2 linked regions of the Mytilus edulis genome follow. The protein of the gene in region 1 purifies or fractionates together with the protein of each later gene. This does not show direct contact. Links are inferred from orthologs where the notes say so. Each region holds a gene or a part of one and is shown in the gene's direction. Other genes may lie near its edges.

Region 1 (7,169 bases):
AAGTATTGCATATGTTTTTTATAACTCAATGGATAGTTTTCATTGTAAAACTTATGTACATATACTTTTTTCTGAAGAAAATTCTTTAATTTATTCATATTTAGAAGAAGTTTACATTATTTGAATTGCTTCCTTCCAGCAAGCAATTCCCCCGATATATTTTCCGTATGCAAGATGACCTCAGTGTGACCCATCTCGTAAAAATCCGGTGACCACAATACGCCAATCTCATTAAAATCCGATGTTCTGATACGCTACCCTCCACTAACGTGAGGGTAGCGTATCAGAACATCGGATTTTAATGAGATGGTAGCGTATCAGAACATCGGATTTTAATGAGATTGCACAATACGCATGGATGTCCTTAAAATAAACTATTATCTGAATTTACATGTTAAACACGTGCTCAATTTCCATGCTTTTTTGTTTATTTTTCGTCAATTGTTGACAAACAGGTGACAATCGTTAAACTTCGGCTTTAAAACACGAACTTTAATTACCTGCCATATTTTCACAACAACACTGACCGATTGAAAAAAACAATTGACGATTATACGATATTTACACGAAAAAAATGATAAATTCGAGCACAGAAGACTAAGTTTATGATGTTTGTATGTATTGGTTTAAGAATTGGAAGAACAATATTTTTCACCGGTCACTCGTTTCTTATGACTTTAACAGTAAAAGTAGTATTAATAAATAAAATAATTTTGTCATTCAAAGTATTACAAGATACATAAGTAAAAGCAATATTAATAAATAAAATAATTTTGTCATTCAAAGTATGATGGGATACATAAGCACAGAGTCACGTCAAATTGATATCTTAAAAAAACAGACTTAACAGTAAAAGTAATATTGATAAAGACAAATAAAAGAATACTATAACACATTATTAAGATAATAAACAACGTGAATATTTAACATACCTCTGGATACGATCCAAGAGACATAAGACTGAAAAATGGCATCCTTGATGGTCCACCAATGTTTGTAGCAACAGAGAACACATTCTCTAAGGTCTGACATAAATCATTGACCAGTTCTCTAAATGTTAATAGTGGATAGGACGTGTCAACCAACAACATTCTGGCTGAAAAATAAATTATACTGTACTTTTATTTGTGGCATACCAATTTTTGTGATTTTTGTGGGTGGCTTCATCAACATGTCCCAACGAAATATATAGCAACTGTTGTCAAAATACAGACATGGAAAGGTCCCCATGTATACTATAGATTTGACTTGCTACATGGTTATGGGCATACAGTATAGAGAATACATCTAGAATATAAGCAAAATACTATGAACTATATATATACAACTTCAGACAGAATTTTACCAATTTAATCTTTAAAAAAAACAAAAGGATAAAATAAAATCCCATCTTAACACCTCAAAATACCTATCTTAAAAATAAAAATGACCAAAATAAAGAATTATGAACTATGTCATGACATTAAAAATTAGCATTCTTGAACATAACCCTACTCACATCAGATCTGTTAAAGGATAAAAAAAAAACCTCATAATAATCTAATTGGTGAAATTGCAGGTGGCTTCATGTCAAATAAATAATCTGCATTTGTAAAACATACTTACCAGGTTGTTTACCAAGCAGCATCCTTGTACCCTCTATTTTTTTCATGTTGCCTGCCATATCAGCAGATGATGTTTAAGTGACTAGATAATAAAATATCACATCTGTATTGTCTTTACTGCCATCTACAAAATATAACAAATAATAAAAGTTCTCTTAAATATATGGAGAAAGACTACATTTTGGTCTCTTGTGGAGAGTTGTCTCATTGGCAATCATACCACATCATCTTTTTTATATATATATACAGTTATTCAAGCAAAGTGATCATAACAATATATCAGAATAAGAAAATATGATAAGATTGACAATCAGTTAACTATCTATCAAAGACAAGGGATAATGATATTTAAGTCCTCAACAAGTTACCATTCAATGGATAATGATGTGTGATAGGTGTTTAACATCCAGTTGCAAATATTACATGCATATTGGGACCAAGACATGGTTTCTCACCTTGAAAAATAAAAAAAATGATTTCCTGTAAATAGATGAAACTTTGAATATGTTGTTATTTATTTGAACATGTCTTCAAAGTTTAATTGCATTAAATAACTTTTTATGGAAAAGGTAATACTAATATCCCTAGATGATATGAAATAATTTACGGATTGCGAATGTAAGTTGTTACTTGAGAGATGAGTAATAATATCAAATTATACTTAATATCTAATAATTTTGTCATTCATCTTTTCTTAAGTGTAAGTAACAATGAGTAATTTGGGAAGATGTATTAACTGATGTTTGCTAAATGCCCAGTGGCAAATATTTCATGAATGTTCAGAATAAGAATTTGTAAATGAAATACATTAATATAAGTGTACTCAAGTAAAAATGTACAGAGTCATAGATACATCTACTATGGTGCATACTTATACTCTGTAAAATGGGGATACTAATTAAATCAAAATATTATTAAATTTATTTCAAATATCTATGCATTGGATGAAAATGTACATGTAACTAATTTCTGTTATGCATTCATGTGTATCCCCTCTTAGACCCAAATGTTTTTTTTTCTAATTTGGGCACCAATTGTAACTGGGGAGCATGATTATTTGGACTACGGTAGATTTAACTAGATTCAACATACAAAAAATACAAAATCATCTTTGTCTCCTCTGGGAGGCAAACATGGGACCTCTGTGTTACAAGGAAGAGTGTAAACTGACTAAGCAATAGAAGAACTTCTTAAGCTCATCCGCTAAGGTAGAATATACTGCATGTACTAAGGAGAGCAATACACCTTATCGCTAATCCCGGCTTACCCAGCTGCTTGTACTTTTGATGTCATACACAATCACTTTCCATTGTGGAGTAAAATATTTTGTTTTATGACTTCAAAATTTTACATGGAACCTGTGTGATATCCAGTCCTAGCAGACAAATAGCGATAAGGTGTATCCTGTAACACTATCAAGCAATATATATCACTGCATGTGGTCACTAGTGCTTTAAAAAAATCCTGGGGAATGTCACCGTGAGCTCCAATGTTATTAAGATTAAACAAAGACATATATATACACATATCTTTCATATCTGAAAGAGGTGTCAAACAAGGCGATGTTCTAAGCCCTTTACTATTTACTATTTTTATTAATAATATTGTTGAAAATTTAAAAAACAATAGCACAGACCCTGAAACATTGAAAATAGATTTTAAATATTAACATGAAGCAAGTAGCACTAGTAATGTGTTCATATATGTCTTTTGAAATATATTGTGCAAAATAAAGAAAATAAAGATTGGTTTCCTGTCACGTAAACGGTGAATCAAAATGTATTAATTTTTTCTTAAAAAACTCAATTGTTCCATTAATACTATTCTAACACCAACACAACCCACAGAATAAAAGTTAAAGTTTTAGAACTTATAAAAAAAGGATACAAAAAGAAACCAAAGTCTGAATACTAAATTATGGTCCATATATCTGTATATCAAACTATTACTTAATAACAAGTGTAGAAAAACACTTAGATTAATATCATCTTTTATTAATCAATCATTTGAATTAAGGAAAAATGTACTTATAAATGAGTAATATGAACAATTTGAAGCTATAACATACAATATACTTATGTCAGTAGTCTATTAACCTATATATATTGATATTTATAACTGCACATTTCATTGTTCATAATGTGCACAATGATATACTATGTAATATTGTTTAATTGCTGCATCATTACTATTAGTATAATAGTTGTATGGGCCGTTGCCAATTATTGTAATTGAGTTTGTGCCAATACAATATTTGTATGTCTCTGGATTAAAATTGGGGATTGAGACTGCATGCATGCTTCTCAAAACATGGAATAAGTATTGCTGACTGGCATTAGGCACCACCAATCATTTACTTTGTAGAAATAATGTTTTAGTATCAACTCAATCTTTACTTGGCTAGTGCTTAACTAAATGCAGGTGTATCAATCTATTTTTGTTTTGCAGACGAAAAATTACAAACAGGAAGTTCATAAACTAATTTGAGAAATGCTTACTGAAACGGTCAAGATATTCCGGAAACATTTTTTATGAATTTTTAAAAATGCTATGGCACCACACGACCAAGTAGGGACCAAGTACACTATTGGTATTTGAGTAACAAAATATATAAATGTAAAAAACTCTTCAAGCCGCAACATTGTGGTGAATGACAAATTCAGTGAAATTGTGTTGAGAATATTCGATTTGTCGTATCCGATATGTTTCGCCTCCATCTCCGAAGTCGGTTTATTACCGGAAGCACGTGTTGAAAAAGCAAAACACAAATGTTTACCACTGTACTTCGTTTTTGTGAACATCGAGGCTCGAACATCTACATACTGCGTGACAAGTAAGACAGTATCTCACTGTAAAACATATTTTATATGTAAAACAATGTAAGTTATTCATACAAACCAGGTTTTAAAACAAAAACGTTTGATCTCAGAAAAACACCAGTTAACAGGTCAGGAATAACCACCAATTGGTGGATTATACCTCAATTGACGTATAATCCACCAATTGAAGTATATTGGTATAGACCAATTGACGTATAATGCAATTTTTTTGTAATAGAATGCTAGTGTGAGATAGGAGCATGATTTTGCAACTTGCAACCTATTTTATGGCCCTTATTGAGTCCTCTGAAAGTTTCAGTTTTGTCAAAGCCTGCTGCATCTCTTGTTACATCCCAGCTCCTTTGTTCTAACAGGGGTGATCTGAACCGGATCACCCCTGCCAGATCACCCTAGTTTGAGTTTCTTTGTTATGCATGCTTTCCTTTGTTCTGTAACATTTTGGCGGGAATGTCAAATCCACTATAAAACTTATAATTAATTTTACGGAAAAGACTATCTATCAAAATTCACGTAGAAAAATCCAGTAGATATGCTGGGATTCGAACTCAAGACCTTTAGCATATCAAGCCACGACACATACCACTACACCAGGACGACTTGATACGAAATAATAGTAATTTGACATACTTAAAGGAAGCAAGATATTTTTATTAGTGGGGCGAGTTGTCAAACCTTTATTCAGTGGGGTTTTAACCTTTTACGTTAATTTGTGAGTTTTCAGACTGATTGTTCAATTTGATTTTACACTTTTTCAAAGTGGGGCAAGTCGGTAAACAAGATTGGGAGGATATTTTTATAAAGTGGCGATAAAGCGTGGGCCGATTGGCAAGTGGGTCGAGTTGACATTGTTTGATATCTACTCATCGTGTTTGGGGGTCAAAAAGGGTATACATCATATAGTAATATATAAAGTATATTGTTATGGTTGTGTGGCGTTCTAAACTAGATTTTATGAATTGTAAATGGTTTTTCGTCTAATCTAAAACAGCTGGGATGTAAAATAGTTATCCCAGTCGGACTTGGTGTGTCAGTGTTAGATCACCCTCTGGCCTCCGGCCATCGGGGTGATCTTACACTGACACACCGCGTCCTTATGGGATAACTATTAAAGAATGCATGTGTACAACAATTCTTTTGTTGAAACATTTGTACTATTGACCATGATTGACTTTTGATAATGAAAGTCAAGTATTAACAAAGAGCTCCATTCACCTGTGGAGTTGTACTCATGATCGCATGACTGCAGACAGTAATGATGTCCATTGACAGGTGATTACAGGTAAATTTGCCAATCAAGAATTGACAAGATAACAATAGAAGAAACTGCAAATACAATTATTGATTAAATGCAATATGTTATGTCACTATACTAAACTAGGAATGTTTGACAAGTTTTCATACCATAATATGGTTTTAAGAAAACAATGCTCCATTTTGATAGAATAATTTCTTTTGAAAAACAAAGAATTATACACCAATTGGTCTATACCATTATACGTCAATTGAGGTATAATCCACCAATTGGTGGTTATTCCTGACCTGGTTAAGACAGTTTTCTCACAAATTCACAAATGTAGCCTAATCTTTCTTAATACTCAAGTATATAACCAAAACTCACACTGTTGCTTCTGTGTCGGTCTGAATAACTAGAAATATGAATTTGAATTCAGTATTAGTCGAAATAATTTTGACGTCTGGCAAGGCAAAATTAAAATAGCCTTGCCGTCATAATTAGTTGGACTAGTTCAGTATGTGACCGGAGAGCATAAATTTCATTACAAAATTGCTCGTCACCCAATGTCTGAACCTAGGTCTCTGTGTTATAAGTCTTTTTTTTCTTTTATTCAACAACAGTATTGCTCGCTGTTAACAATTACTACACTACTGTGTTACAAGTCAGTGTGTATACCCACTGAACTAATAAAAGTAATTCCTTAGCTCCACTGCTTACGGCTAACTTTGCATCTACCACATTTTACTATTTATGGAAGCAATCCTGTTACATGTCCCCACCTCAAGAGTGATTATACTCTACAATGATGATATATTCATTTTTATATATATTATTCCCGGGCTAGGTAATATTCCTCTAACCGTTGGTTTTATTGTTGGGTGCCAAATGTAATGGGAGAGCATGATTCTTGTTACAAAATCATTTGGGACTCAAACCAGGGAAGTCTGTTATAAGGCAGTGCGACAGATATGTGCCAACTGAGCTAAAGAAGTACTTCCTTAGCTGAACCGCTTACGGCTGACTAAGTATCTATTTTCTGCAACAAGTTAGATTTACAGTTTTACATGCCCAGGGAGAAGTGCTAACAACAGAATTGCAATGTTTCCCACTCCTGAGAAAGATATTATATAAAAATGTAAAAAGATGTCCGCAAATATCAAAAATCATCAAAAGGACCTTGTATTAAGAGCTACGTTTTCGCAGCTATGTGTATGGATGAAGTTACTCAAATCTTTTCATGTTGATAAATTGAGTGTAGTTTGCTTAACATCTAGTGACATCTTTTAATGCTGATTGACTTGAGTGAAGTTTACTTATTGACTACTGTGGATTCATTTATTTTCGTGGGTACCAATTTTCGTGGTTTGAGAAAAATTTGCATATTTGTGGATATTTGATTTCGTGGTTTTGCCAAAGTCTGCACACATTCCTTCAGGATATTTGTAATTCGTTGAATATTTGAATTCGTGGTTCTCATGTACCCACGAAAAT
Region 2 (7,431 bases), on another chromosome or scaffold:
TTCTGTTTATTTTTATTTTGCTGAATTTTCATCCTAGCATCAGATAATTTAGCTTTGGCTGCTAGTTTGTCACGTGCATCATTTGGACGTTTAGCTGCAGCGATTTTGTCTCTTGCATCGAAAGCTGTCTTATTAAAACCAGACAGATTTTTATTTTGAAACGACACAGAAATGGGTTTGATATTCGATTTATCCTGTAGTCCTTTATTTTTACGAGTTTGTAATGACATAATGTTATTCTTTTTAGTTTGCAGAGACAAACGCCCATTCCTCTGCTTTTGCATCATAACATTCTTTGGACTTCTAAATGTTACTCTGTTTGTCCTTGGAGACCGATTTGTCTGTTTTTGAAATTTAACTTTTCCTTTAACAAAACTTTTGCCTGCTCTGCTTTCATTTCCAGTATTCCTAAAATAAAAATTGATATCAATTACATAGTTAAGAAGTTGCAGCCCAATGTTTCATACAACCCTCGTTAAAAAAAATAGCATACAGATTCACAACAGTTACGAGATTGAATCTACTGCAAATATACATATGTTCCAACAGAATTTAAGTTTTGATAGTAGTTGTTAAACCCCTCATTGGCCCTGAAAAGCTGCTTTTCTGGTTATCGAGAAGCCAAAATTAAACATATCTTCAAATTATTGACACAGTATGTACAGTTACTAAACTGTGACTGTTCTTTACAGTTAATGCTGGCTTGTTAAATTTTTCATTTCTCGCTGCATGTTTTCATTTAGTCTTCAAGGAAAGAAATAATACTGAATATAAAATGAAAATAACTCTTTTGTATTACATACATGTAGGTAGTATGATAAGAATAACACATGAAATAATAAAATTAAAATACCTCAATCGAAATTTACTTATACTGCTGAGTGAATGACAAATTATTGTGTAAATAGAAGTTCCATCAAGAGGAAATAAACTCTTGCTCTATCTTAAATGGTAACAAAACAAAGATTCATATATTTCAGATTTAACTTTTGGCTTCCAATTTTCTCAATATAAATGCATGAAATATGAACCCTGCATACATGTAATGAAAGAATTTTATAGGATATTCACTTCTTTGTAAAATTTACCTAGTACTTGTTTATTTCTCATATTTTGTCATAAAAGCACACACTGTCAATGTACATCTATAATACTAAAATTACGAGGTCCTATTTGTCAGCCGTCATCACGTAAAAACGACGAATCAAAAAAATCAACTTTATATATAACTAATATAGTACAAAGTTGTAGATTAAAAATTACACCACTCCAGGCCCTTTTGTTTTCCGCGTAATTAATATTGTCAATAATTAAGAAGTTCTGGGTCGAGTCCGATAACGATACCAATAGTATATTCACCTGTTACCGATTACCTTATCTGTACGTTCCGCATCTGACAGGCGCACCACCAAACGGTGTATTCAGGATTAATATGCTATATAGTATTACACGGGTCATAATCACAGGGTTGACACTACTTTTAAAATTGTCAAATTGTTACCTATTGTAGTATTTTAATCAGTTAGACTTTCTAAGATAACAATACAAATACTAAAAAAATCTGGACTAAAATAAGGCGTATAGGTACAGTTTTCAATTTGTTAGCGGGCATGACGTAAAACAGCGAATCAAAGAATTCAATATTTATAACTAATATAGGACAATGCTGTTGATTAAAAAATACTCCATTCCAGGACCTTTTGTTTTCCAAATAATTTTAATATTATCAATAATTGATAAGTTCCAGTTTGACGGGTTCAAACAGAAAGATTTGAAAGCAGAGAAAACTGTGAAAGACCCCGTTCACACTTGGACATTTTTATCGATTTAAACTAGACCGGTTCACTTTAGATTGGTTTAAGGGCTAATGTGAACGCATTGAATCGATCTTCAATCGGTCTAAACTAAAACACCAAAAGAGGTAGTTTAGTTTGAATTGATCTAAAGTAAACCGATCTTACTTTAGATGTTAACGCAGAGATCGGTTTAAACTAGTATGATTGAATCGAAAATAACGTATACGCATGTATAGCGGCACAACTATCTCAGAGGTTCGTTGTTTAACCCATATTTTTCTGTTAAAAGACCTTTAAAACAAACTGTAAACATGTTGTCTTCGCCATAGCATAGATTTGCGAAATCTGTGTCTTCTTTTCTTATGTTGATTTTTTTTCTTTGCAGGAACCGCAGGATTTCCGGCGTCGTGTTGTAACTTCGTTGCTACAGTTATTTTTTTCAAAATTAAAGAAAACTACAATAACACCAGTATCAAAATTTTAAATTGTGATTCAAGAGAAACAATAAATTTATCCATTTTTTTTCCAAGTGTGTGTATCAGTGTATCAGCACATGAATTTGATTAATCAGTTCTATTTATGCACAATGTTTATAGTTTTACGGTTTTAGTTCTATTGGTTTTTAATTGTAGTGTGAACGCAGTGGTTCATATTAGACCGATAGAGATCGATATGATTAAAGATAATGTGAACGCTAACTGGTTTTATTTAGATCGATTCAAATTAGATCGATAAAAAAAAATGCTAGTGTGAACAGGGTCTATTAATCAGCATGACTTTATCAGATGACAATACTAATACTAAAATAAGGCTTGCACATAGTTATATACTTTAATTCAGTCACGGATCCGCGATATACGGGTGTGTTCTAGTATACATATAAAATTATAGTCTTTCAGAGAAGGCAAGAACACTTCCACAAAAAGGTCTTTTGAATGGACGCAAGCAGTGGAGTTGTAACTAGATCTGATTTCATGGATTTTGCCGTCCTGAGGTAAATATAGCAACATAAAATTGTAAACACTTAACGCAGCTATTATTGTTGGTTGAAAAGTGAGGCATTTGGGTCCATAGACTAAGGTCCTGGACAAAGGGACAACAACTGCAGTGCACCAAAGGATAAATATAATTGGAAAGTGAACAAGACAACAAAAATAATGGTTACTCTTTACCCAATAGATGTGATGAAATCTGTTCTTTGTTAAATCAGACGTTTCCTTGACATTTTTAGTTAAACTTACATGTAAAGAGAAGACACAATGATTTGTAACCTAAAAGTCTAGGTTTCAATAATTGAGAGGAGGATACATAATAATATTCTGTCACTAAACTGTTAATCATATTCACTCTTGAATCCCTAGAGGTGAATTTCCTGAATGGATATATATATATATATAGTCCTTATTGCAATTTATATCTTGTTTTGTCCTGGTGAAAGTGTAATACATCAATAGTGTTCATAGATTAATACACCAGTTTCGAGTTGGTATTTTGTGAATGCGTTACACCCGTACAAAAGGACGTAATTATCAACAATCTTTTTCTTATACAGAAGACTTACTATCATAAGCTTTGCAACAATTTACAATCAAATACACTGTTTGGTGAATATGGTTGCGTTCACCCCCTCTCACTTTTACACCTTTTTATTAGTTTTTTTTCTCAATAATTTGACACCAATAATTTTTTAATCGAGTTTTGTTTAGTATATATAAATGTTTTTTTTTCATTGTTAATCATGTTTTGATTAGTGTATTACTATAGATAAAGTGAGATCAAAGGCCAAGTTGTTTAGTTTAATTTATCTTCAGATTTATTTATACCAAGCTAAATACATTTGCACATGCAGTATACACCTTATCGCTATTTGTCCGCCATTACTGGATATCACACAGGTTCCCGTAAAATTTTGACGTCATAAAACAAAATATCTGACGCCACAATGGAAAAGTGATTGTTGTATGCATCAAAAGTTCAAGCGGTCGGGTCAGCCGGGATTAGCGATAAGGTGTATTGACATCAAAGCAAATTAATATAAATTAGGAAGTTAGTTTTTCTCGTTTGAATTGTTTTACATTTTTCATTTCCAGACTTTTTATAGCTGACTATCAGTATGGGCTTTGTTCAGTCATGAAGGTTGTACAGTGACCTATACATTGTAGTTGTTAATTTCTGTGTCATTTGGTCTCTTGAGGAGAGTTGTCTCATTGGCAATCATTCCACATCTTTTTTATAACACAAAACAATCATGATTTTCTTATATATAAAATCGAATTAGATTTAAAATTGTGCATGTTTACTTCCAGTGTTAATTGTGGGGTAGCTATGAAAAATCACTTTTCGTTTCCTAAAATCATCAATATTCATGATATTTATTTTGCTTTCTCTTCTATGAAACTACTTTTGGTTTTTGTTTTCCTTGTAATGCTACTCGTTGGCCGTTTATTGGATTACAAAAATGTTGTTTGCTATTTTGTTGTTGGTGAAAAGATAAGAATCTCTTAAGAATTAGGTTAAATGCTTTTTCAGTACCTAATTTGAACAGTAAAGTTCTTTTTCTGAATGTAATCATCTAAAGATACGTCCGCCATCTTTAAAATGTGGGAAATATTTGCGGAACTTCTCGGATTATTTCCTTTTCTTTCATGCAATTTGAGTTTCTCTAGATCTTTCCATACATGTTGAAGCTCAAAAGCACACACTCCTTTTTTCCACAATACAGAACACTGTTTGCATCAAAAACAGGTAAACACAGCTGTGCTTTATTAATCAAAGACAAGCACTTTTACATTCTTTATTTTTTATGTATTCAGTATATAGTTAAGATACATAATTCCATGACCTGTATAATTTGTGATGGTTATATTTTCACCAATCAGCCAAAAAAAAAACCCAAACAATTTTATAATTTCAATTACAAACGAAAGTGAACCAACGCCTGGTGAGTCTGTAGTACGGTAGAGTCCATAAAGTGGATATCTCTCCGGGTATGCAGGGTCGTTATGATAAAAAACATAAAGTGTAGAGAGTCTTATAACAACAACACTTTAGGGACTGCTGCAGAAAATTTATTGATCGACATGTTTCGGTGCCTAGGGCACCGTCATCAGGATAAAAACAATACATAAAATCATGCTGAAAAAGCACGACATTTTATCAGCAATTATGTACCATTTCGACTGGCTTCCCTTGGCCAGAGGTACTGCTTCCAGTCAAGTCAGTCGAAATGGTACGGAATTGCTGATAAAATGTCGTCTATTTTGGGGAAGAAAGTTAAATGAACACAGCCTGACAACTTATTGTATTATTCTTTCCACGATGCAAGAGGACAAACACATGTTGGCAGAATAATTTTAACAAACATTTTCACAACAAAAACATTTTATTTTAATTTCTTTTTATAGTTTACTTCCATACTTTCAATGAACTTTCACTTTCACTTTCAGTTGCTATTAATAACGTTACTTACCATTGTAACATTGTGACGTTTAAATTTTAACAACCCGATTTTGTTCTTCAGCATGATTTTATGTATTGTTTTTATCCTGATGACAGTGCCCTAGGCACCAAAACATGTCGATCAATAAATTTTTTGCAGCAGTCCCTAAAGTGTTGTTGTTATAAGACTCTACCGTACTACAGACACACCAGGCGTTGGTTCACTTTCGTTTGTAATTGATTTTATTTTTTATCGTGAACCCCTGCATTCCGTAAGGAAACCGCCGTTGCAACCAGCGCTAATCATACTAGCCATTCGCACACAGTAAACAAAGTTATATTTTGTTGAGGCACCCACAGGAACCTTCCGAGAATGCTGCCATCAAACACTAGAAGAGAAATAGATAATAACGGACCATCTTAACTCAATACGAGCCTTAAGGAGGAAAAGAACAGTGATAGGAAATTATTTCTCTCTTACAGAATTAATTTGAAATTAAATTGCCCGATTTCGTATTCTTTAAATTCAATCTTAAGCTCCCGAAAATATGGTAATCAAACATACAACCCTCGAGATACAACCATTTTTACAGAAAACTGGCCATTCCCGATAGTTTGATGAACGATACATAGTTCAAATTCAACATATAGACTAGCGATATTTATACTTTGTCCTTTACTCTCGGCGACCGAAACATTTTACAGCATTCCTGACGCGATTGGAAGCAGTACCTCTGGCCAAGGGAAGCCAGTCGAAATGGTACGGAATTGCTGATAAAATGTTGTCTATTTTGGGGGAGAAAGTTAAATGAACATTCAGACCACACAACCTATACAGTCTATACACAGCCTGACAACTTATTGTATTATTCTTTCCACGATGCAAGAGGACAATAAGTACAATTCCCTAATGACAGCAGTGCTTAATGTCAATTGTTTTACAGTTATTCATCATGATAGTACCCTTTATTACGACCCTCATATTTATATGGTATAAATTCTTTAAATTCATGAATATGCAGTGGCATGGAAATAATTATAAGTTGGGTGGCTTGTTTTGGAGTATAAATGACATAAATTGGTCATTATAATAAATCTACATTTTGTTAAACGTGGGAAAGAGTAGCAGCAAATACCACTGTCCAGCTTTAGACTTTGGTTTGACCAGGCCTGGGTTTCTAACCTAAGAGCTAACAAACAAGCTACCATGAGACCACCAAAGCAATTCCTGTGAATTAGTAGTGAGGAAGCTGGCAAAAATATTCCTCAAAACACTAAATAGGGCTAGATAAGGAATTCTGAGCACGGGACATACAGAAAATAGCTCCAGAAACTGAATGGTTTTATACATGTCATTTTTGGGGCTTTATAGCTTGCTGTTCAGTGTGAGCCAAGGCCTTGTGTTGAAGACCATACTTTGACCTATAATAATAGTTTACTTTTACAAATTGTGACTTGGATGAGAGAGTTGTCTCATTGGCACTCATACCACATCTTCTTATATCTAATTATAAATCCTTTTCATGTATTACAATTTGCACATAATTGTTTTTCACTCATTCCTTGCTGACTAGTTGTCACACTTTTGCCTCATTTTTTTTAAAATGGCCCCCATGTCTTAGAATGAAATTAATATTATAGATTTCGCTAATATTGTGGTCAAATAAACTCTATGTTGATTTTTTCTTCAGACAAAAGATGAGTGACAAACAAGGAAGGGGAAAGAAAAGACCAAAATCTTATTATTTAAAATGTGCTCACAAGAAAGTATCACATGGAAACAACCTGGACACAGACATGAGAGGATTCCTTGTCACTTGTAATGGTAACGAGAAACAAGCTGTTAGAGAAATGTACAACTTGTTAAATGAATATGCTGATAAGTTGTACGGACCAGAAGAGGTATGTTTGTCAGCTTCTCTTAATTGTTTTAATGGTAGTATTTTCAGGGACAGGTTAGGAATCATTATTTCTAGTTTGCTATTTCAGCATGTAGTGTGATATAAAAATAAGGAGATGTGGCATGATTGTCAATGAGACAACTATCCATAAAAGTTCAAAAGAAGTGGACAAGAAATTATGGGCAACCGTACGGTACGGCCTTCTGTAATGGGGAAAATCCAAACAATATGCCATATGGTACAGTTGACTCATCAAGGTTCATGGACAACCAATGGGACAGACACATAAGAATGTG

What was found. Proteins that work in one complex are often made in the same cells at the same time.
Region 2: the proteins of RNA cytidine acetyltransferase-like (region 1) and THUMP domain-containing protein 1-like purify together in Homo sapiens (co-immunoprecipitation; 3 studies listed by BioGRID and IntAct, counting the BioPlex papers as one, with this or other methods). This does not show direct contact. The link is inferred for Mytilus edulis from reciprocal best matches to the Homo sapiens genes NAT10 and THUMPD1.

What each region holds. Positions count from the first base shown.
Region 1 is NC_092350.1:32,050,341-32,057,509, forward strand, and holds the start of RNA cytidine acetyltransferase-like, read left to right. Parts: upstream 1-4,147; 5' UTR 4,148-4,437; exon of another isoform or gene 4,438-4,483; intron 4,484-7,169. Other genes in the region: meiosis 1 arrest protein-like, read right to left, coding at 933-1,096, 1,606-1,663. UniProt on the Homo sapiens protein: RNA cytidine acetyltransferase that catalyzes the formation of N(4)-acetylcytidine (ac4C) modification on mRNAs, 18S rRNA and tRNAs.
Region 2 is NC_092352.1:15,219,446-15,226,876, reverse strand, and holds the start of THUMP domain-containing protein 1-like, read left to right. Parts: upstream 1-4,419; 5' UTR 4,420-4,541; intron 4,542-6,925; 5' UTR 6,926-6,932; coding exon 6,933-7,136; intron 7,137-7,431. Other genes in the region: uncharacterized protein, read right to left, coding at 1-408, 4,329-4,387. UniProt on the Homo sapiens protein: Functions as a tRNA-binding adapter to mediate NAT10-dependent tRNA acetylation modifying cytidine to N4-acetylcytidine (ac4C).